Saccharomyces cerevisiae S288C: one gene and its partners. The gene in region 3 interacts genetically with the main gene of each other region. Each region holds a gene or a part of one and is shown on either strand. Other genes may lie near its edges. The genes, in order: RAD9, RTT103, ORC2 and HAT1.

Region 1 (7,680 bases), on a different chromosome or scaffold from region 3:
GATCGCTCATATTAAGGACGCCTGAAAAAGACATGCGTCTACATTTTGTGTCATTCCCATAAGAATAGTAAGAACAGGCATTTTTATAAATCGATACAAAAAAAGAGCTACTATACGTACATAAAGTCAGTAAATAATCAAATGTTCCCAATGAAAGATCACTCAGCTCTTGAACAACATACTCTCAGCAGAGATGAGTTAAGACGTCGCAAGGGTTACAAGAAAGGACTGCAGTTGTCAATTTTGTTACTTGGAGAAAAAGGCAGCGGCAAATCAACGTTTTTAAACAATCTGTGCGGTCAGGATATATCGCTTTCTGATGGGGATTATGATGATGATGATGATAAAGTGACAAATAATGTAACACCAGAAAATGGAAACGCCATCGAAGATATAGATCCTGGATATAAAACAGCCCATTTGAGTCCTGGGCTGAAGCTTGTCACCAGAAGAGTGTATTTGAACGATGAACTAGGCGTACCCATAACATTAGATATCATATTGTTTCCAGGCTGCGGTGACAATGTCGACAATTCACAAAGCTCTGTTGTTATAAAAAACTACTTAGACCAACAGTTTGCAAATGTTTTAAAAGAAGAGGTCAGAATAAAGAGAAACACAAAAGAAACTGATGGGAGGCCTCATGTTTGTTTATACTTTCTGAAGAGTACTCCAAGAGGAGTCAAAAAATTTGATATTGAGTTAATGAAAACGATTTGTGATAAAGTTAATTTAATTCCCATTATTCCAAAAGCCGATGGTCTCACAGAAACTGAATTAAATTTACACAAAGACATTGTGCGCCAAGAAATCTCTCAGAACAATATACGTGTTTTTGATTTTAAAAGTGACACCCTAGGCGAAACATTAGCTCTGTACGATATGGACATCGATTCCAGTTCAGCAAAATCCAAATACGATAATGACACGAAGATCAAGGAAATATCGCCATTTGCCATTGTTTGCAGCAAAACTTTTAATAAAAATTCGGAAAATAGGGTTGAGCATATCAGAACGTACGAATGGGGTAGCTTGGTGGTCGAAGACCAAAACACCTCCGATTTTATATACTTAAAAGCAATACTGTTAGGTTCTCACCTTCAGGAATTAAAAGATGTAACAAACAACGTATTGTATGAAAATTATAGGGCTAAAGTGTTAACTGAGAAGAAAAACAACTATGATATTCCAAACTATAGCTATATCGACGAAACCTCAAGGGGAAGTGTCAGCAATGTTTCCACCAGAAGAAATAGTGCAAGTAGAACACTTGGGAATCCAGATACAAACGATGAAAATGCTTATCAAATACACAAAGAAATAGACGAAAAAAACAGAATTATTGAAGACTATCAAAGGAAGATTGATTTATTGGAGAAAATGTTGGCAGCTCCCCATCAAAATAAGGTCTAAATAAATATACGGCCTTGTTAGCGTTAGATACATATGAAATAAAATTTTATTGCTTTTTCAAGTGCACTAAAGTATAAGGCAAAATTTTTTTAATCTATAATATACTTTCTCGATGTGTCTCTATATAACCTTGTGTCTTTCTTATTACTGGCACGGCTTTGAATTTTCAGAGTGCAGTTCTGATTAAACACGCGAGGATTTTTGTTCGTGGATATTTGCAACGATGAGCAATGTGAAGTGAGCAAGATAGAGAAACGCCATAGAAAAGAGCATAGTGAGAAAATCTTCAACATCAGGGCTATGTCAGGCCAGTTAGTTCAATGGAAAAGCTCTCCAGATCGAGTCACCCAAAGCGCTATAAAGGAAGCACTGCATTCTCCCTTGGCTGATGGCGACATGAACGAAATGAATGTTCCCGTTGATCCGTTGGAAAACAAGGTAAATAGCACAAACATAATCGAAGGAAGTCCCAAAGCAAATCCAAATCCTGTCAAGTTTATGAATACAAGTGAGATATTTCAAAAATCTCTGGGATTACTTGACGAGAGTCCAAGACATGATGATGAGTTAAATATTGAAGTAGGAGATAATGATCGACCAAATGCTAACATATTGCATAATGAAAGGACTCCTGACCTTGACCGAATTGCTAACTTTTTCAAAAGCAATCGAACCCCTGGTAAAGAAAATCTTTTGACCAAATATCAAAGCTCCGATCTGGAAGACACTCCTCTGATGTTAAGAAAAAAAATGACTTTTCAAACTCCAACTGATCCATTGGAACAGAAAACCTTCAAAAAGTTGAAGTCAGATACTGGGTTTTGCTATTATGGAGAGCAGAATGATGGAGAAGAAAATGCGTCATTAGAAGTTACAGAGGCGGATGCCACTTTTGTACAGATGGCTGAACGTTCTGCTGATAATTATGACTGTGCATTGGAAGGAATTGTTACACCTAAAAGATATAAAGACGAATTAAGTAAAAGTGGAGGAATGCAAGATGAACGAGTTCAAAAAACTCAAATCATGATATCAGCAGAATCACCTAATTCGATAAGCTCTTATGACAAGAACAAAATTACCGGGAATGGCCGGACCACAAGAAATGTAAACAAGGTTTTTAACAATAACGAAGATAACATAGGAGCTATCGAGGAAAAAAATCCAGTAAAAAAGAAAAGTGAGAACTATTCATCAGATGATCTCAGAGAACGGAACAATCAAATAATACAAAGTAATGAATCAGAGGAGATTAACGAATTGGAAAAGAATCTGAATGTTTCGGGTAGAGAGAATGACGTGAACAATTTAGATATCGATATTAATAGTGCTGTGTCTGGCACCCCTTCACGCAACAATGCGGAAGAAGAAATGTATTCCAGTGAGAGTGTAAACAATCGGGAACCATCCAAGAAGTGGATATTCCGATACTCAAAAGACAAAACGGAAAATAATAGCAATAGATCTACGCAAATAGTCAATAATCCAAGAACACAGGAAATGCCTTTAGATAGTATTTCAATCGATACGCAACCCTTATCTAAAAGTTTCAATACCGAAACAAATAATGAATTAGAGACACAGATAATTGTTTCATCGCTTTCCCAAGGCATATCTGCTCAGAAGGGACCTGTTTTTCATTCTACTGGCCAGACAGAAGAAATAAAAACCCAAATAATAAATTCTCCTGAACAAAATGCTTTGAATGCAACCTTTGAAACTCCCGTTACTCTTTCTCGGATTAATTTTGAACCCATATTGGAAGTTCCTGAGACTAGTTCACCATCTAAGAATACGATGTCAAAACCCTCGAATTCTTCACCTATTCCGAAGGAAAAAGATACATTTAATATACACGAGAGAGAAGTAGAGACAAACAATGTTTTTTCAAACGATATACAAAATTCTTCAAATGCAGCTACCAGAGATGACATTATCATAGCCGGTTCATCTGATTTCAACGAACAAAAGGAAATAACCGATAGAATATACTTACAACTTTCAGGAAAGCAAATATCTGATTCAGGAAGTGATGAAACAGAACGTATGTCCCCAAATGAGCTTGATACGAAAAAGGAAAGTACAATCATGAGCGAGGTTGAACTAACCCAAGAACTGCCTGAAGTTGAAGAGCAGCAAGATCTTCAAACGTCTCCAAAAAAGCTGGTAGTCGAGGAAGAAACTTTAATGGAGATAAAAAAAAGCAAGGGGAACTCACTTCAGCTTCATGATGATAATAAAGAATGCAATTCAGATAAACAAGATGGCACAGAGTCTTTGGATGTAGCTTTGATTGAACACGAAAGCAAAGGACAGAGCTCAGAACTTCAGAAAAACCTCATGCAATTATTTCCAAGTGAGTCACAGGAGATTATTCAGAACCGAAGAACAATAAAGCGACGTCAAAAAGATACAATAGAGATCGGTGAAGAGGAGGAGAACAGAAGCACTAAGACATCACCGACAAAACACCTCAAAAGAAATTCAGATTTGGATGCTGCTTCTATCAAAAGGGAACCGTCTTGCAGCATTACCATACAAACAGGGGAGACAGGTTCGGGCAAAGACTCTAAAGAACAGTCTTACGTGTTTCCTGAAGGTATTAGAACGGCAGATAATAGTTTCTTATCGAAAGACGACATAATTTTTGGAAATGCGGTATGGTGTCAGTATACGTGGAATTACAAATTTTATCCGGGTATTTTATTGGAAGTTGACACTAATCAAGATGGCTGTTGGATTTATTTCGAAACAGGAAGATCGCTAACCAAAGATGAGGACATCTACTACTTAGATATTAGAATAGGGGATGCTGTTACCTTTGATGGAAATGAGTACGTAGTCGTTGGTCTAGAATGTCGTAGCCATGATCTCAACATAATAAGATGTATTCGAGGATATGATACGGTTCATTTGAAAAAAAAAAATGCAAGCGGATTGTTGGGGAAAAGGACGTTAATTAAAGCACTAAGCTCGATCAGTCTTGACCTAAGCGAGTGGGCTAAAAGAGCGAAGATCATATTAGAAGATAATGAGAAAAATAAAGGCGACGCGTATAGGTACTTGAGACATCCCATTAGGGGAAGGAAATCAATGACCAATGTTCTGTCTCCGAAGAAACATACTGATGACGAAAAGGACATAAATACGCATACTGAAGTGTACAATAACGAAATAGAATCGAGCTCCGAAAAGAAGGAAATTGTTAAAAAGGATTCTAGAGACGCATTAGCTGAACATGCAGGAGCGCCAAGCCTGCTTTTTTCTTCTGGTGAAATCAGAACAGGGAATGTATTTGATAAATGTATTTTTGTTTTGACAAGCCTATTCGAAAATAGAGAGGAACTTCGACAGACCATTGAATCGCAAGGCGGCACTGTAATTGAGTCAGGATTTTCCACTTTATTTAACTTCACTCATCCGCTAGCTAAATCTTTAGTCAATAAAGGTAATACAGATAATATTCGAGAATTGGCCTTGAAGCTAGCCTGGAAACCTCATTCCCTATTTGCAGACTGCAGATTTGCTTGCCTAATCACAAAACGGCATTTAAGAAGCTTAAAGTACTTAGAAACTTTGGCGTTGGGGTGGCCTACACTACACTGGAAATTCATAAGTGCATGCATTGAAAAGAAAAGAATAGTACCACATTTAATATACCAATACCTATTACCTTCGGGTGAAAGTTTTCGGTTATCGTTAGATTCTCCATCAAAGGGAGGAATCATTAAATCCAACAATATTTTTTCATTTTATACACAATTCTTACGCGGATCTAATTTAAGAGATCAGATATGTGGAGTGAAGAAAATGTTAAATGACTACATTGTTATTGTTTGGGGTAGATCTGAGTTGGACAGTTTTGTCAAATTTGCTTTTGCATGTTTGAGCGCAGGTAGAATGCTTACAATTGATTTACCCAATATTGATGTAGATGATACAGAGCCATTGTTAAATGCCTTAGATTCTTTAGTACCCAGAATAGGATCAGAATTATCTAATCGAAAGTTAAAGTTTCTCATATATGCTAACGAAAATAATGGTAAATCTCAGATGAAGCTTCTCGAAAGATTGAGAAGTCAAATATCACTGAAATTTAAGAAATTTAATTACATATTTCACACTGAATCTAAAGAATGGCTAATTCAGACAATAATTAACGAGGACACTGGTTTTCACGATGATATTACGGACAATGATATATACAACACTATTTCTGAGGTTAGATGAAATTATAAAAATATATAAACTCATAATTGATAGAAAGGGACGATTAAATAAAAAAAAATTTAGAGATTCTTAATTAAGTCTAAGAACATCCTCCCACACGCCAGGAGTGGTTAATGTTCAAGATTGGTATTAGTTATACACGGTAACCAACAACGTTGGTAAGGTCTTTTTCTTCTATACATGAATTTTAAGATCAAGCATATATTTTAGGCTTGCATCTTGTAATGAACTAACTTTCATAAATAGCTTTTCTTTTTTGTATGAGGTATAAGATGAAAAATGTTAAACATGATACAGGATTTAATATAAAATGGACCAAAATAAGGAGCAATAACGAGATTCACCCCAATGGGTGAGATGAGAAACGCCAAGGTAGTGAAATATTTTTGTGCAACAATTTCAAAGATAAGATCGGTGTTCTCCCGCAGTAGTCCACTTCAGTCGCATGCATGGCTGTTTGATGAGAAATAAAATGAGATATTCAAAATCTCATCAGAAAGAGTTGAGTACTGGGACGACACATATCAGCAACGAGACATAATCGTCAACTGTTTCCCTTTAGATGATTTTCCAAAGTGTGGAAATCACTTGCCATCTTATCTAACATGTGACAATGAATGTAGTTTTCTTTAACATTGGTGAAAAATAACTTGGCAATAGTAACATATTTCAGAGATAATTGGTACTTTTCGGCAAATCCTTGCCCCTTTCCACCATTTTTATGTTTTGATGAATGATTTTCCCCGTAACGTAAAAGATTCAAAGTAGAAACAGTTTGATGCGAATCATTTAAGCCGCTGAAGTTAATACCTTCTAGGCCGGTATCCGATAGGAAATGTGCTGAACGAGGCAAGTCTGTCACTGCCCTGTCCCCATTATCAAAGGAAAATTCATTTCGAATAGGATCCTCCATATTCAAAAAAGAGGTATCGTTAAAAGAGTTAACTAGGATTTCATTAATAAACATTGCAAGCCCTTCAACATTGATCTTTTTGGCTAACTTAGTCTTAACAGCTGCACTTGCACCATTATGGTGTTCATTTGCGGATAAACCAGGGACAAGCATACCATTATCTTTATTTATAAATTGTTGCGTAAATACAACATCAGGAAATCCAGAAAACTCTTGCGGATACAATCTTGAAAGTGTGGGAAGTAAAATAGAATTCGCAAGGCTTCTCAACTCAATAAAAATTCTCAGTAACTTAAAATTTGGAGTTGCTTCAAAATCCAATAAAAATTTGATAATTAGGATGAAGCAATAGTAATAGCCTTGTAAATTGAAGACAGAAAGCGCTTGATTATTCAGGTGGATCCTTGGCAGCTCTGGAGAATTCATTCTTTGGGAGCAATCACTTTCTTCTTCTACGTATAAAGACGAAATATTACGGATTGAAAAGTTCAACGCTACTAAAAATTCACACAATACTTCAACTGAATAATTCTTCAAAAAATTCAACCTCACAGAGTTCAAAAAGGAATCATATATCTTTGCTATTTGTCCTTTTCTAACCTTCTCAGTAAACGAGCGATCAATCTGTTTGATGAATCTCATTGACATTAAATTATTTTTCAAAATTATGGTGTCATCAATTAAGATCGCAATATTTTTATTGGTTGCTGCCATATTATCATTGCCATAGGAAGAAGTGTCAAGACTCCTCTCTAGCCTTTTCGTATCGATTCGATCCAAAAACACATGTGATTTGGTTCCTTTTCTTAAATCGTATTCATAATAAATCATAGATGACCCTAAAAATTCTGGTATTGAGTGTAAGTGTCCATACGTGAAACTGTAATAAAAGTTTCTAAAATCATAAAAATTTTGCTTTTGCACAACATGCCCATTACATATTATCGATTCACTGGCCCATTTTGACTCATTGTCGGGAATATAAATGGTTTCAACATCTTTTTCCTTTATAGACAAATCGAATTTAATATGGAAGAAACATTTCAAGAACTGACAAAAATCATAAGCCATTAAGGTGCATCTAATTTTTGACTCAAAAATGATGTATTGAAGAGGAGAACCAA
Region 2 (4,869 bases), on a different chromosome or scaffold from region 3:
GAAGAGTAATGCGCTTATTATCAACTTCGATTGAAGGGGTCCTATATCAGTATGCTACAAGGGAAGGTTGTTCGATAAACATAAGCTTCTCATTAGCATGAGTTCTATAGATAATGACAGCGATGTGGATTTAACAGAAGATTTAGCCGTGGCCAAGATCGTTAAAGAGAATCCTGTAGCTAGAAAAATGGTTAGGTATATTTTATCGAGAGGAGAATCTCAAAATTCGATCATAACAAGAAACAAGTTACAATCTGTTATACATGAAGCTGCTCGCGAGGAAAACATAGCAAAACCGTCTTTTAGTAAAATGTTTATGGACATAAATGCTATACTGTATAACGTATATGGGTTTGAATTACAAGGATTGCCGTCAAAAAATAATATGAACGCTGGCGGTAATGGAAGCAATAGCAATACAAATAAATCAATGCCTGAGCCACTGGGACATAGAGCCCAGAAATTTATCTTGCTAAACAATGTCCCGCACTCAAAAAATTTTGACGATTTCAAGATTTTACAAAGCGCTCACACTTATGAAGAGCTAATAGTTACCGGAGAGTATATTGGTGACGATATAGCTTCAGGAACTTCCAATACCTTAGAAAGCAAGTTGAGTACAGATCGAGATCTTGTTTACAAGGGTGTTTTGAGCGTCATTTTATGCATTGTTTTCTTCTCTAAGAATAACATATTACATCAGGAATTGATCAAATTTCTAGAGACATTTGGCATTCCAAGCGATGGTTCAAAGATTGCTATACTGAACATTACTATTGAAGATTTGATAAAAAGTTTAGAAAAGCGCGAATATATAGTCAGATTGGAGGAGAAATCCGATACCGACGGGGAAGTGATATCATACAGGATAGGTAGAAGAACTCAGGCTGAGCTTGGACTAGAGTCTCTTGAAAAATTGGTGCAAGAAATCATGGGCCTTGAAAAGGAGCAGACTAAAAGTTTGCACGATGATATAATAAAAAGCATTGGCGATTCATATTCTATATAGCATTGCATAGGTGTCCATGTAGTTTAGGTGCGCATCTTTTTTGTCGAGGAAATAGTGAAGATGAATACGAAATAAACTATGGGCAAATAGTTACGAAAAAAGACTGGACTTAAACGGGTTACTATATATTTGTATAAGTTATCTCCTTGTTTTCTTTTTACTCAACCATCATATTAATTTGCAAGCTTACTTAACAAGTCTTGTATACTAGAAGAAACCCCTCCGGAATTCTCAACACCTTCGTCGGTTTGGGCGCCGACGTGGCCTTCTATATCTAACTCATAATGTCCATCCTCACTGTTGAAAGTACCATCTTCACTCGTCTTCGAATCAAGATGAACCTTTTTTTCCGGTATGTCATTAGCGTCATCATGACCTATCATATCATGTGTTCGTTTCATACCAAATTGATTGTCACTAGGATTATGAGTAGAGTTTTTATGTTCGCTATCTGTCTTTTCTACAACTTCATTCTTCTTATCTGTGGTGCTAATATTAGTAACGCCATAATTGCTGTCATTGGATCTATCATCGTAATTTTTGTCATCATCATCATCATCATCATCATCATCATTATCACCATCATCGTCATCGTCATCTCCATCCCCCACTTCATACGTAGGAATAATATTGTCTTCATCAACGTTTTTATTTAATCTGGATGGGTCTTTAGCAGATAAAACGAATTCTATTTCACTTAACATATTCTGTTCCTCATCTAGATGCCTTTTTTCATCGTCCAGTGTGCTTTGCAGTTTATGGATACCGCTTTCTCTTTTTAGAATTGATTCATTTATTATATCTTTAGCCATGTTCCCAATCTTACTTATTGTTTTAAAATTTTCCTCGTAAACTGAGCTGGATGGATCCAATTCATCTGATGATTTGTCAAATCTCATTTTCATCGCGCAAACATTATGGTGCATTTTCACTAATTTTTCATAGTCCTTAGCAAAATCTTTCAATTTCTGGGGTAACACCAACGCTTCCACTGGTGAGCTCTCGGTTTTAAGACTTCTTTCTATGTCATTGACTACCTGCTTGGAAAATATATTTCTTTCTTTTAGTATATTCACAACTCTTGACAACTTCTTTTTTAGGTCCCTCGGAAACTCTTGATTAATTCTTCCCAATACTTCTGCTGCCACCTTTCCAAAGGAATCTTGAAATTGAATAATTTTTTGACCTTTAGCCTGTTGAACAACATGATTCATTAAGTAAAGACCCAATAACTTCCTTCTTGTGTTTACACTAGGCCTTAACATGTATTCTTTCCACATTTCTGCCACTTTGGGAGCATCTCTATACTGTAGAAGCAACCACTTTGAGGCACTGGAAATAGATTCTTGGGAATCTTCCAACGTATTTAATTTGGTTGTGAATTGCTCAGAAGAGAAAGGCATACCGTCTATTTTAATCTTGGATTATTGCTTTCTTCAAATTTTCTACCTCTTCGTTAAAACCTTCTTCGCTTGTACTTATATTATTATGTTGGCTTTTCAAGTTTATATATTTTTAAAGGAAAAAAATAACTTTTTCATTTTTCGTTATAAAACAGAACCGTTATACATATTGAGATGGTTAAGGTCGTAGAAAAGAAATGTTCATTTGAGAAGGAAAAATGGAGGAAGGACCTATCAAAAAGAAACTGAAGTCAGCAGGTCAAGGGAGTGGAAAGACCGATGCCTTTAGAAATTTTGAACAATTTTTTTTCCGCCTTAATACTCTTTACACCTTTTTGATTTGCAGAAAGCATGTTGTGCCTACATTTAAAACACTTTGTGGACCTATAGAAACTGCTTTGAAAAGAACTGTGACGAAAGAAGACCTAGCCATGGTTATGGCGCTAATGCCAAGAGAATGTGTTTTCAAGTATATTGATGAGAACCAAATTTATACTGAAACTAAGATTTTTGACTTCAATAATGGCGGCTTTCAGCAGAAGGAAAATGACATATTTGAACTGAAGGACGTTGATGACCAAAATCAGACTCAAAAATCTACTCAGTTACTTATATTTGAATTTATAGACGGTACAATGCAACGCTCATGGTCTGCAAGTGATAGATTTTCTCAAATAAAGATACCAACATATACTACGGAGGAAATGAAAAAGATGATTTCTAAAAGGGAAGCTCTCTTTAAATCCAGACTACGGGAATTTATCCTGGAAAAGGAAAAGGCTAACCTTGACCCATTTTCTGAGTTAACAAATCTAGCGCAGAAATATATTCCAAGGGAGAGAGATTATGAGGATCCTATTGAGGCAATGATGAAGGCGAAGCAAGAAAGTAATGAGATGAGCATTCCCAATTATTCCAATAATTCAGTGATAACAACAATTCCTCAAATGATTGAGAAATTAAAAAGTACTGAATTCTACGCTTCTCAGATAAAGCATTGTTTTACAATACCATCAAGAACAGCGAAGTATAAAGGTCTCTGTTTTGAGCTTGCACCGGAAGTATATCAGGGTATGGAACACGAAAATTTCTACAGCCATCAAGCAGATGCGATAAACAGTCTTCATCAAGGCGAAAACGTCATTATTACAACATCGACCTCTTCAGGTAAATCCCTTATTTACCAACTAGCAGCTATCGATCTTCTTTTAAAGGATCCTGAATCAACGTTTATGTATATATTTCCAACAAAGGCCCTGGCACAAGATCAAAAAAGAGCATTCAAGGTAATACTTTCAAAGATCCCCGAGCTAAAGAATGCCGTGGTTGATACGTATGACGGCGATACGGAGCCAGAGGAAAGAGCTTATATTCGTAAAAATGCTAGAGTTATTTTTACCAATCCTGACATGATACATACCAGCATTTTACCTAATCATGCAAATTGGAGACATTTTTTGTACCATCTAAAGTTAGTGGTGGTCGATGAATTGCATATATATAAGGGTTTATTTGGATCGCACGTGGCATTAGTGATGAGACGTTTACTAAGACTGTGCCACTGTTTTTACGAAAATAGTGGTTTACAATTTATTTCATGTTCTGCAACTTTAAAGTCTCCAGTACAACATATGAAGGACATGTTTGGAATTAATGAGGTTACGCTAATACACGAGGATGGCTCACCTACAGGTGCTAAGCATCTAGTGGTGTGGAATCCTCCAATTTTACCTCAACACGAACGTAAACGAGAAAATTTCATTAGAGAGAGTGCAAAGATATTGGTACAATTGATATTGAACAACGTAAGAACCATAGCATTTTGCTACGTTCGTCGTGTTTGTGAATTGTTGATGAAAGAAGTTCGCAATATTTTTATTGAAACTGGGCGTGAGGATCTGGTTACAGAAGTCATGTCTTACAGGGGTGGTTATTCTGCTTCCGACAGACGTAAAATAGAACGTGAGATGTTTCACGGAAATTTAAAGGCTGTCATATCTACCAATGCTCTAGAACTTGGTATTGATATCGGTGGACTAGACGCAGTCTTGATGTGCGGTTTCCCACTATCAATGGCGAATTTTCATCAACAAAGTGGTAGAGCTGGAAGAAGAAATAATGATTCTTTAACCCTCGTGGTTGCAAGTGACTCGCCTGTTGATCAACATTATGTTGCTCATCCAGAATCCTTGCTGGAGGTTAATAATTTCGAATCTTATCAAGATTTGGTTCTTGATTTCAATAACATTTTGATACTGGAAGGACACATACAATGCGCTGCTTTCGAACTGCCAATAAATTTTGAACGTGACAAGCAATACTTTACTGAATCTCATCTTCGCAAAATCTGTGTTGAACGCTTACATCACAATCAAGATGGGTACCACGCCAGTAATAGATTTTTACCATGGCCGTCCAAGTGTGTATCTTTGAGAGGCGGAGAAGAAGATCAATTTG
Region 3 (5,604 bases):
AATATTTGTTGACAGGAAATTCATATTTGGAATGTAATATAGCAAATTGACCTGTCATTTCAAAAGGGGTGGTGAAAAATAATAATTTGTAAAGGAAAACTCCCAAAGCCCATATGTCTGATTTTTCGTTAATGGGCAGACATCTGTAAAGGTCAATCATTTCAGGGGACCTATACTGCGGAGTAGTATGCACATAGATGTTTTGAGTCAAAAGAGCAATATCTTGATGAGTAGTGACAATTGGGAAACATGTCGACGTGGACCCAAAATCAGCTAGCTTGAAATTGTTTTTGGCATCTACCAAGACATTTTCAATCTTGATATCGCGATGGATCAAGGACACAGGAAGGTAGTGCATTTGAGAGATAGAAAGAGCAACGTCATACATAATTTTCACAATTTCAGCTTCTGTCAGTTTCGTTGACAATCGTTGGTTCATATAATCTAGCAAAGATTTGTTTGGACACAATTCCATTAGCAAAAGAACCTCAAATCCTTGAACGCCATCACGACGGCGAGAGGCGTTGGAATCGAAGTATTGTACTATATTTGGGGCCCCTTTCAATTTCTTCATTACCTCCACTTCATTTCTCATCTCGTTCAATCCATTCTCATCTTGAACTAATACTCTTTTCAGACATGCGACATCGCCAATCTTTAAGGGAACACTTGCTGTATTATCAAATTCATTAAGATACTCTAGGAATTTCACCACGTAAATTTGAGCAAAGCCACCTTCTGCTAAATAATTTACCACTTCAACTTTATGTGTGCCTACGCAGACAATATGGCCTGGAGTGTACCTCTCTACCGCCGGATGGCCCATTGCCGAAACGCTTCTAGAAGTACCATTCGTGATCGACATGATCAGTGCTAATTAGAAAGAAAATAACAGGCGACAGGGACGAAAACAAGAGCTTGGGAAAACGTAATAGCAAAAAATGAATGGCAACTAAAATTATCTCTATGATGTCCTGTGTTGCTTATGCTCCCGAGGCACCGATTCTGATTCAACAATGCTATTGAATTTACTCATTCAAGAAAGGGGGTTCATAGGATTATGGCTTTTATTCAGTATTTTTAAGTTTTTTCGGTTATTGAGCTCTGAATAGGGCATTTTCAGAATGGCGGGGTTCACCTAAAAAAAATGAAAAACAAATATAGGTCATAACTCGTCTGAATTTTCGAAGAGCTCATCAGACGTTTTTCAGTAGGGTTATATGAGAAGTTTTTTAGTCGTTTTAAGATACATCACTAAGTATTGTTGGTTATGGGAAAGCAAAGCTAGCAAGCCTAGTACTATTACAATTGTTCGTGATATGTATACATTTATAGAGTATTTAAAACGGTTTTCAGAAGTTTTTCAAGTTCCGCATACGTGTAGGGTACCCAAATAATTTCCATTCCAGAATTGTTCTTAGTTATGTTGGCCATTTTATGTTCTATGAATTCTCTAAGCATCGACCTTAGAGCTATCTCATTAGAAGCAATAAAATCAGCGGCACAGAGATGGTTGAAAAGTTTAAGTTCTACTCCAGTTCTTTGAGTACCACGCTTAGGACCTGTGTTAGCGGATAGATTCCCCATATTCTGCATTTGTGTTTCAATAAGCAACTTATACATCTTCTTGGAGTTCACAGTAAGTGATTGTAAGACGTATTTCGCACCTTCAGCACCACTGCTGGTATCGCTTTTACCCATCTTCATCACATCTTGGAACGTAGACTCGACTGTCGACGGTTCAAAATTCGAAATATCATGAAAGACAAAGTTGTAGTTTTGGGCCTTCATGTTGTCCCAGAGGAGCGGAGCGTAAATGTGGTCTGTAGAGGCGACTATGGCGATTTGTCTGATGACGGAGAGGAAGCTTAGCATCGTCTGAAAAGTGTTTTTCCTTATGCTAGGACCATCCAGATTATGCACTACAAGTATTAATTTGATATCTAAAGGTTGATTTTTGTAGAAATCAATCATCTTTTGGATCTGCAAAATCACATGATTGCCCCAGTACTTAGTTTCGCTTCTTGTCAACTCAGCGGGGACCAAAAGATCGGTAATCTCTTTGAAGACGTCACGATAGTTACAGCTAGGGTTGTAACCATTTAAAATAAGGCATGGGATGGAATTTACAGGTTTGTTTTGTTGTAATTCATTCTCATAAGCCAGTTGCGAGTACGCGATTTTCGGAGACAAGTAGTCAATGGCAAACTCTTCCAAAAAATTACGTTTCGAACCTACACCATAAAATAATAAGGAGAATCCTTGAGTCAATTCAAACCAATACTGGGGAAACATTTTTTTCTGAATTTCAAATAACTTTTGCCTGGGACGTTTTTGAAAATTTTCGTTGAAAAAGTTTGATACTAGGGAAAACTCTTCTCTGGTAACGTCAGGTGCCATTGACATGGTGTGCCTTGACTTCGCATTAGTTCTGACAATTTTTCTTTGGTCGAAATATCCTTCAAAAGTATCCAAAAACGAGCTTGCTGACTTGGTTTCCGAAGTTTGGTAGAGCTTTTTATTTTTCGGTACAGGGGTTGGAGTAAAATTTCTACTCAAGGTTAATTTACCTGGGGAGGTTGAGTCTTTATATTCTTTTAAATTATTCATTATAATTTGCTTTAGGGGCGAAGTAAAATCATGATTAGTGGTTAAAGACTTCTTAGATGGTGTTGCAGGTTCTGGTGGCTCGGGTGAATTTGATACAAAATTATCATCAGTTTGTGGAGTCACATTATCTTCATATGTTGTGGTCGCTACCTGTATTTTTTCGCGTTCTCTTTTCTCTTTTATCCCCGTCTTTTCCATCACCTGCTTGTTGTTAGAAGTCTTGCTTTCCTCATTGACATTACCTGATGTATCTTTGTCCAATTTCCTCTTTTTCTTAGAGGAAATTGTATCTTTCTCATCCTTCTTGATCCTATCAGTTAATTCTTCCTGTATCTTTCTTGGTCTTCCACGTTTACGGGGAGCTTTACTTGGCGTTTTAGGTTTGAGTGCCGGATCTGGAGATGTATTTTTCCTTTCGTTGCCTACAAGCGAGATTCTTTCCAACAAATTCTTCTTTGATGAATGAATTCTTCTCAGTTGTCTTTCTCCATGTGGGTCAACCCTTTTTGGGGTTACATTCCTGCTTTTTGCCGGAGACGATAGGATATCATTATGCTCTACAAAGTCTTCCCCATTTAGCATGTTATGGCAATTCGCAGTACTACAAAAACTTGTTTTAAAGATATAGCAAATAAGATCAATGATCAATTATCAAATACAATTTCAGCTAATATATTCTACTTTGTCTTAATTTAAAGGTGGTTCCTATTTCTTTATAACTTTTACACATTGTGAAGAATAACAATTCTGCTTACTATTGTCATTTCCACCTCAATGATGCGGTGAGTGGGTGTTCTGAAAAATTTTCCCGATTTTGCTAGACTAGAAATTGGTACTAGCTGATCCATATCACATTTACGCGAATAAGTCGATATTTATGCATGGATATTTGGCCTTTTACGACACTTATTCTTATGATCCATTGAAAGATGGTTCATATTACATATAAAGGTGCCACAGCAAGTTAATGTCACGGCAGCTAGTGACGCTATTGCTAGTTTACACCTAGATGAGGCCACTGGAGAAATGGTCTCTAAGACAGAGTTGAAGAAGCGTATTAAGGGAATACAAATTGAGGCCAAAAAGCTGTCAAAAAGACTCTTGCGAAACCAAAACCAGCTTCGAAAAGACTAATTTCCTGGCCGGTTTATAGTCATCTCAATACTAGATCACAGCAAATCCAATTAAGAAACAGACTCTTGATATAAATTTTTATCCATACAAGTTCCGATTATATATATTCAATCCTGAATTTTTGGCCAAGTATGCCCATTCAAAAAGGCGAAAATTTCCCTTAAGAGAAGTTTCACATTGCTAGGAGAGTTCATGCAGAAAGAGAATCAGCTTAAAAATTGAAATTCTACGTTCTCAATGGTGGTGTTGAGCTCTAAATTATTTTACAATTTCAGGATTATTACGACGAGAACCCATAAAAAGGAGCATGACCTTTAAGGAGGAGTAATATATATCCACCAAAGAAGACCGGCGGAGATGAGATATATTTTTTTCGTTAACAGAGTGCAATTGACAACTTGTTTGCACTTGCCTGCTAACTGTTTTGGTTTCAAAGATCAAGAAAATAGATAGAACCCGTTTTATTATTCAATTGACATCGCCCGTTATATCAGACGATTTTTGGATCAAAAAAAGTTTATTGGAGCAGAAGCAATTCTGAAATGAAGGTCCTAATATGACCCCAATATGACACATAATTCGGAATCTGCCACTTGTGAGTTTTATCAAGCCTATGCGGATGTTTGTGACTAGTTGGATATGACTGAATTAATACTTTCAGAAATGGACAAGGAGATATGTGATTCTCTATTATCAAATACCATTTGAACCTTACTGGTCCAGCTAAAAAAGAGCTAGAATTCATCTGTTCTAGCCCATGGAAGAGAACCGATATGATTGGCAGATAGAAACCATACTGATTCGCGTCGTATCTAGCACAACCCACGTAAGAACCTTAATTGACGAACAGTCAAACCTTCTTGGCTTTTACAACCGAGAGGAAATACTAAGTCAACATCAAGGTGGCAAACACAATTCACAGTATCTAATTTTTCGTTATATCACATTGGAAAAAGTATTAACGTATAATTTCCATCTGCTGAGCACTTGCTGCCGTTGAGACCGGCGAATTTTTGAAAGAAGTGTATGCCAATAATAAATTGGAAAGCCCATTAAATAATGCTCTTATGTTGGATAAGCTTTCTTCGGTGGAATAAAAGGCACATGTATCAACCTGACTTTCACTTTTACTTAACCCCAAGCTATGTCTCCATTGGCCAGGTACTCAAAAGAACAACCGGGTTTATGTGAGCGTTTCGAGGTTTTTGTATCTAAAAAGGAGATATGTAATGCGTAAACCCGAACTGAACAATTCGTTTGACCAAAAGGGGCTTTCCTACAAACAAGCAGGGCAATAGGAGCAAGGCAAATGGATCAAGGTGATGCTTATGCATAATTTATACGATGGAATCCTTTGTAATGCTCCGTACTACGGTTTACCACCAACCGGCTTTTGGGTTGTAATATTGACAGATTCACCATGTTCTCAATGGTTCTGTCACAATTCGAAAGTTCTATTACTCGCAAATTCGAAAGCAGATGTTTTAAGAGACGAGGTGAAGTAAAAAAGAAGAAAAATGATTGCCATACTCCTCAATGCTTGCATGTAATATAATATAATATAATTACTGTTTCATTTTCTTTTATATTATACAATGGATATTCTACATAACCGTAACCTATATCGTTTTTAATGATTGCAAGGAAAAGTTGATTTTGTAGATAATCTTATAATGTAGTGACTTATTTAATTGTTTGATTAGAGGTAGTAATATTGCAATCAAACTGATCTAGTGAGTTTCCCGCTCCTTTTTAATTCCAAAGCTTTCTTGTAGGGAGGGTTCGTCGGGCTTTGAACAGGATCTAAGGACGATGAAGTGCCTGCAACCGAAGAAGGTAGGTCATGATAAGTGGCATCTG
Region 4 (4,833 bases), on a different chromosome or scaffold from region 3:
CCCTTTTCACTCGGCTGCAACGAGCGGGGTTGTAAGAGCTAAGCTTTCTAGCCTAGCAATGAAATAGAAGGACAAGTCAGACGATTGACGTCAAAAAAATGAGTCGCCTCTCTTTCTTTCTTAGGCCAACTAGACAGCCGTAGATGAAAATATGGAAAGATATGATAGACAGCTGAGACTATGGGGAGCATTGGGCCAAGATAGTTTGAACCGGTCCCGTGTGTGCGTGGTAGGACCTGCTACACCTTTGCTGCAGGAAGTTTTTAAGAATCTGGTGCTTGCCGGAATATCATCTCTTACTTGGCTCAAAGTAGAGTGTGCAGTTCAATCGGGTTCTCTGTTTTTAGCAGAGCTTAAAAAAGATCTTGAGCCATTGGCTTCTAAACAGCTAGAATATGAGGAAAATGACCTTAGAAAGACGTTACAGCAACCTCAGTATGATTGGACCCGCTTCTCGGTGGTGATCTTGACTTGTATTGGTGAGCAAACTGCGATGCTCGATTTAAATGAGATTAGGCGGCAGAGAGGAACAAAGTTTCCGCCTGTTCTAAACACTTTCGTCTCTGGATTTTATGGATATATATATCTGGTACTCTCAGAAACACATTTTGTTTTGCAAGCACACCCAGATAGTAAGAAGTATGATTTACGGTTACAGAACCCTTGGCCTGAACTAATAAATTACGTAGATACATTTGACCTAAGTAAAATGGATACAGCCACGTTTTCTGGTATTCCATATACTGTTTTGCTCATGAAGTGTATTGCAAAACTTGAAAGGGATGGTAATAATGGGAGGATAACGATTGATCAGATGAAGAAAGTTTTAGACCAAATTTGCCTTCCTTTAGGGAATGATGTTATCTACGAACCCAATTATGTGGAAGCTAAACGCTATGCTTACTTGGCCTGCTCTCAAAATGATTGTTGTAAAGAACTGGAAGATCTGCTCCGAAATTTGGAAATATCAGATTATGGGAACGATTGGCATGATACTTATAACTACGAGATTCTCACACTATTATTGACTTTGAAAAATATTGCTAAAGAGAATGGGGAGCTCAGCTTTCAACCTTTAACGGGCACTCTCCCAGATATGGAGTCAACAACGGAAAATTATATCAGACTCAAGAAACTGTATGAAGTAAAAGCAAAGCTTGACAAGTCTCGTGTGGAGGAAAGTTTGGCTCGCAGTAAAAAAATAGTTTCACAGGATGTCTTGGAGACATTTTGTTCTCATTACGGGGAGGTCAGGAAAATATTGCCGCCAAAAAGTGACTTGTTAGGTATTTTTAGCACCTCGAATGCCCTTTTAGATGCATTAGTTATGGTCCAATTCTGGGAGCAACCGGCAGTAACTGCAGAGGATAAAGATGAGTTTATTGGTTTACGAGTCGACGATAACTATTCCGTAATGGCCTTTTTTGGAGGTGCAGTGGTTCAAGAGGCTATAAAGCTTATCACACACCATTACGTTCCTATTGATAACCTATTTTTATATAATGGCATTAATAATTCATCCGCAACATATAAAATATAAAATTTTTTCGTCAGCTCTCCGAGTTCATAGAATGCTTATTTTATTGTACTTCCCTGGTTTGCGTTGATGCAAATAAAGACTAAATGTAAACTTTTATGATGCATATGATATCGAATGTTTACAACAACGAGAGATCACCGGTAAGAACTGTGCTCAATAAAATACAACATCGATAAATACTTAACGCTCATCCACCATTCCTGTTCAAGTCAACTATCTCACAGTTGCCTCGTAATCCAAGAGGGATCCCAATACAACGCCTCTGCACCACCTTGATAATCAATCCACAATAAACCGTTAGCGACCATTTCATCAAGAGCAGATTTACTCCTAACAGCCTCCCATCCCAAGTTTGCCTTTAATAAAGAGATACTTGAGTAGCCCAGAATTGAGCATATTTCCAAAATCTTTGTTTGATCTGATGTCAACTCATTTGGAACACTTCGTAAAAACTTTTTGCCGCGAATTTGAAATATCTCAAAACACTCTAGGCTCTTTAGCATGTCGATAGATTTTTCCAAATCATCGAGTCCAACATTCAGCTTACGAAAATGCACCTTCTCCAACTCTTGAAAAGAAATGACGCCTCCATTCATATCTTTAGTTTGCCGACAAATTTCTATAACTTTAAGACATACTTCATAATAAAAATCATTCACTGTAAATAAGTGCTTATCTCGATCAAATAAAGATAGGGGATCAATCCCAATAGATGAGCACATATGCATGAATTTTGAGCGGAATTCAGGTGAAGCTTGAAGCTCGCTATTGTGTTTCTTGGCAAATTCTACCAGTCGTTCTTGGAATACCATTAATTGGTCCCTTAGTTCGACAGATTGCTTTTCAAGTATGGTTTTGTTTACGTCATTGTACTTTCCATCCTTCAACTCGTCAAAGGCTGCCAGTCCAAACTGTTTCATGTTAGTGAGTTTCGAAGTTGGCTGTTACGCCAAGCATTTTCAAGTCGTGGTAAAGTCTTTGGTCTACTGCATCGCCTCAAAAGGTTATAATATATCCCAGAATTGATGGATTAAGTTCTTGAAATAGCACACCGTTATAAGTGATAAATATATTGTCTTCGAATAACGAATTTATTAGATTTCTATGTATTTCTACTTGAAGTTAGGAATAGATCTTTCTGGAATTGTTTTCAGCAAAATTATGCTTAAGCTATAACTATAGTGAGAATCAAGAATATGTCTGCCAATGATTTCAAGCCTGAAACGTGGACTTCAAGCGCCAACGAAGCCTTAAGAGTTTCTATAGTTGGAGAAAACGCTGTTCAGTTTTCACCATTATTCACGTATCCAATTTACGGTGACTCCGAAAAGATCTACGGCTATAAGGATCTCATCATCCACCTAGCATTTGATTCAGTAACATTCAAGCCGTATGTTAACGTCAAGTATTCAGCAAAATTAGGAGACGACAATATTGTAGACGTGGAAAAAAAATTACTCTCATTTCTACCAAAGGATGATGTAATTGTTAGGGATGAAGCTAAATGGGTAGATTGCTTTGCAGAAGAACGAAAAACACATAATTTATCTGATGTTTTTGAAAAAGTATCAGAGTATTCGTTGAATGGGGAAGAATTTGTTGTATATAAATCGAGTTTGGTTGACGATTTTGCCAGGAGAATGCATCGTCGTGTTCAAATCTTTTCATTACTTTTTATCGAAGCCGCTAACTATATAGATGAGACTGACCCGAGTTGGCAAATCTATTGGTTGTTGAACAAGAAAACAAAAGAATTGATTGGTTTCGTCACTACTTACAAGTATTGGCACTACCTTGGAGCAAAATCTTTCGATGAGGATATAGATAAAAAATTCAGAGCCAAAATATCTCAATTTCTGATCTTTCCACCTTATCAAAATAAAGGCCACGGATCCTGTCTTTATGAGGCTATAATCCAATCTTGGCTAGAAGACAAAAGTATTACTGAAATTACTGTAGAGGATCCAAACGAAGCATTTGACGATCTTCGCGACAGGAATGATATTCAAAGACTGCGAAAACTTGGTTATGATGCTGTCTTTCAGAAGCACTCCGACCTTTCTGATGAGTTTTTGGAGTCAAGCCGAAAATCTTTAAAACTGGAAGAAAGACAGTTTAATCGTCTTGTGGAAATGCTTCTTCTTTTAAACAATTCTCCATCATTTGAATTAAAGGTAAAGAATAGGTTGTACATTAAAAATTATGATGCCCTAGATCAAACTGATCCAGAAAAGGCAAGAGAAGCTTTACAAAATTCATTTATTTTAGTCAAAGATGATTATAGGCGTATTATAGAGTCGATAAATAAATCTCAAGGTTAACTGTTTATTAAATATATAATAACATATTTATTTGTTTAACAAGCCTGAAATAAGAAATTCTTTTATAAATACATCATCGAGATGATCATCAAAGTGTCTCTATAGTTAATATAAGCTTATGCAAAGGTTGAAGCCGTTATGTTGTCGTAATTCTAAATTACAGGTTATATTAAAGAGATTATCTTGACTGATATAAAATTTCTTATCATGGTAGTGATCACAAATAGATCACATGATATATTTTTTATTTTTAATTTTTTTTAATTATAAAAATAATTTTTTTCTTTAAATTAAACAAAAATAAAAAATTGTTTTTTGTTGGTTAAGATTTCCGAAAATAGAAATATTATTCAGTTGAAAGACAAAAAAACATAAATATTTCTATGAGCAAACAATTTGAACAGAAAAATAAAATTGGGGAAGTGACACACCATGGTAGCGGTTCTAAAGCGAAATCGGCAAAGCGGCTAAATAGCAGTTTTGATGACTTACTCCACACTGAAAATGGATGACCTTAAATAGGAGATAAAGCTTTTTCATCCCTATGTATTTAAGATGACTGGCTTGTCAAGCATTCTAATCATAAAAAAAAGATCGTATTTGATCAAGAATTTATACATAGACGCCGCTAAATAATTGAATACAAAATGGTACAAAGGCTTCTACCGGGCGCACATATATGCAGAAGGTCCTTCAATTCGTCTGCAATTATAAAGTCTTCTGCATTGACTCTCAAGGAAGCATTAGAAAACGTGATACCTAAGAAAAGAGATGCTGTGAAGAAATTGAAGGCCTGTTATGGCAGCACGTTTGTCGGACCGATTACCATTTCATCAGTTCTAGGTGGGATGAGAGGTAATCAGTCAATGTTTTGGCAAGGAACATCATTAGATCCCGAACATGGCATTAAATTTCAAGGTTTAACGATTGAAGAATGTCAAAATAGATTACCTAATACAGGTATTGATGGCG

What was found.
Region 1: mutations in ORC2 (region 3) and RAD9 together harm fitness more than expected from each alone (negative genetic interaction), as found in Saccharomyces cerevisiae (3 studies listed by BioGRID, with this or other methods).
Region 2: mutations in ORC2 (region 3) and RTT103 together harm fitness more than expected from each alone (negative genetic interaction), as found in Saccharomyces cerevisiae (3 studies listed by BioGRID, with this or other methods).
Region 4: mutations in ORC2 (region 3) and HAT1 together harm fitness more than expected from each alone (negative genetic interaction), as found in Saccharomyces cerevisiae (4 studies listed by BioGRID, with this or other methods).

Annotation. Positions count from the first base shown.
Region 1 is NC_001136.10:897,514-905,193, reverse strand, and holds RAD9 (chromatin-binding protein RAD9), read left to right. Parts: upstream 1-1,713; coding exon 1,714-5,643; downstream 5,644-7,680. Other genes in the region: septin SPR28, read left to right, coding at 142-1,413; DNA-binding transcription factor ADR1, read right to left, coding at 6,188-7,680. UniProt on the Saccharomyces cerevisiae protein: Essential for cell cycle arrest at the G2 stage following DNA damage by X-irradiation or inactivation of DNA ligase.
Region 2 is NC_001136.10:1,037,098-1,041,966, forward strand, and holds RTT103 (Rtt103p), read right to left. Parts: upstream 2,413-4,869; coding exon 1,183-2,412; downstream 1-1,182. Other genes in the region: Smc5-Smc6 complex subunit NSE3, read left to right, coding at 98-1,009; HRQ1 (ATP-dependent 3'-5' DNA helicase), read left to right, coding at 2,631-4,869. UniProt on the Saccharomyces cerevisiae protein: Involved in transcription termination by RNA polymerase II and in regulation of Ty1 transposition.
Region 3 is NC_001134.8:359,323-364,926, forward strand, and holds ORC2 (origin recognition complex subunit 2), read right to left. Parts: upstream 3,193-5,604; coding exon 1,330-3,192; downstream 1-1,329. Other genes in the region: serine/threonine protein kinase AKL1, read right to left, coding at 1-865; tRNA methyltransferase TRM7, read right to left, coding at 5,465-5,604. UniProt on the Saccharomyces cerevisiae protein: Component of the origin recognition complex (ORC) that binds origins of replication. It has a role in both chromosomal replication and mating type transcriptional silencing. Binds to the ARS consensus sequence (ACS) of origins of replication.
Region 4 is NC_001148.4:551,869-556,701, forward strand, and holds HAT1 (histone acetyltransferase catalytic subunit HAT1), read left to right. Parts: upstream 1-2,736; coding exon 2,737-3,861; downstream 3,862-4,833. Other genes in the region: ULA1 (Ula1p), read left to right, coding at 152-1,540; ESCRT-II subunit protein SNF8, read right to left, coding at 1,759-2,460; citrate (Si)-synthase CIT3, read left to right, coding at 4,509-4,833. UniProt on the Saccharomyces cerevisiae protein: Catalytic component of the histone acetylase B (HAT-B) complex. Acetylates 'Lys-12' of free histone H4 in the cytoplasm. The complex is also found in the nucleus, however it is not certain that it modifies histone H4 when packaged in chromatin.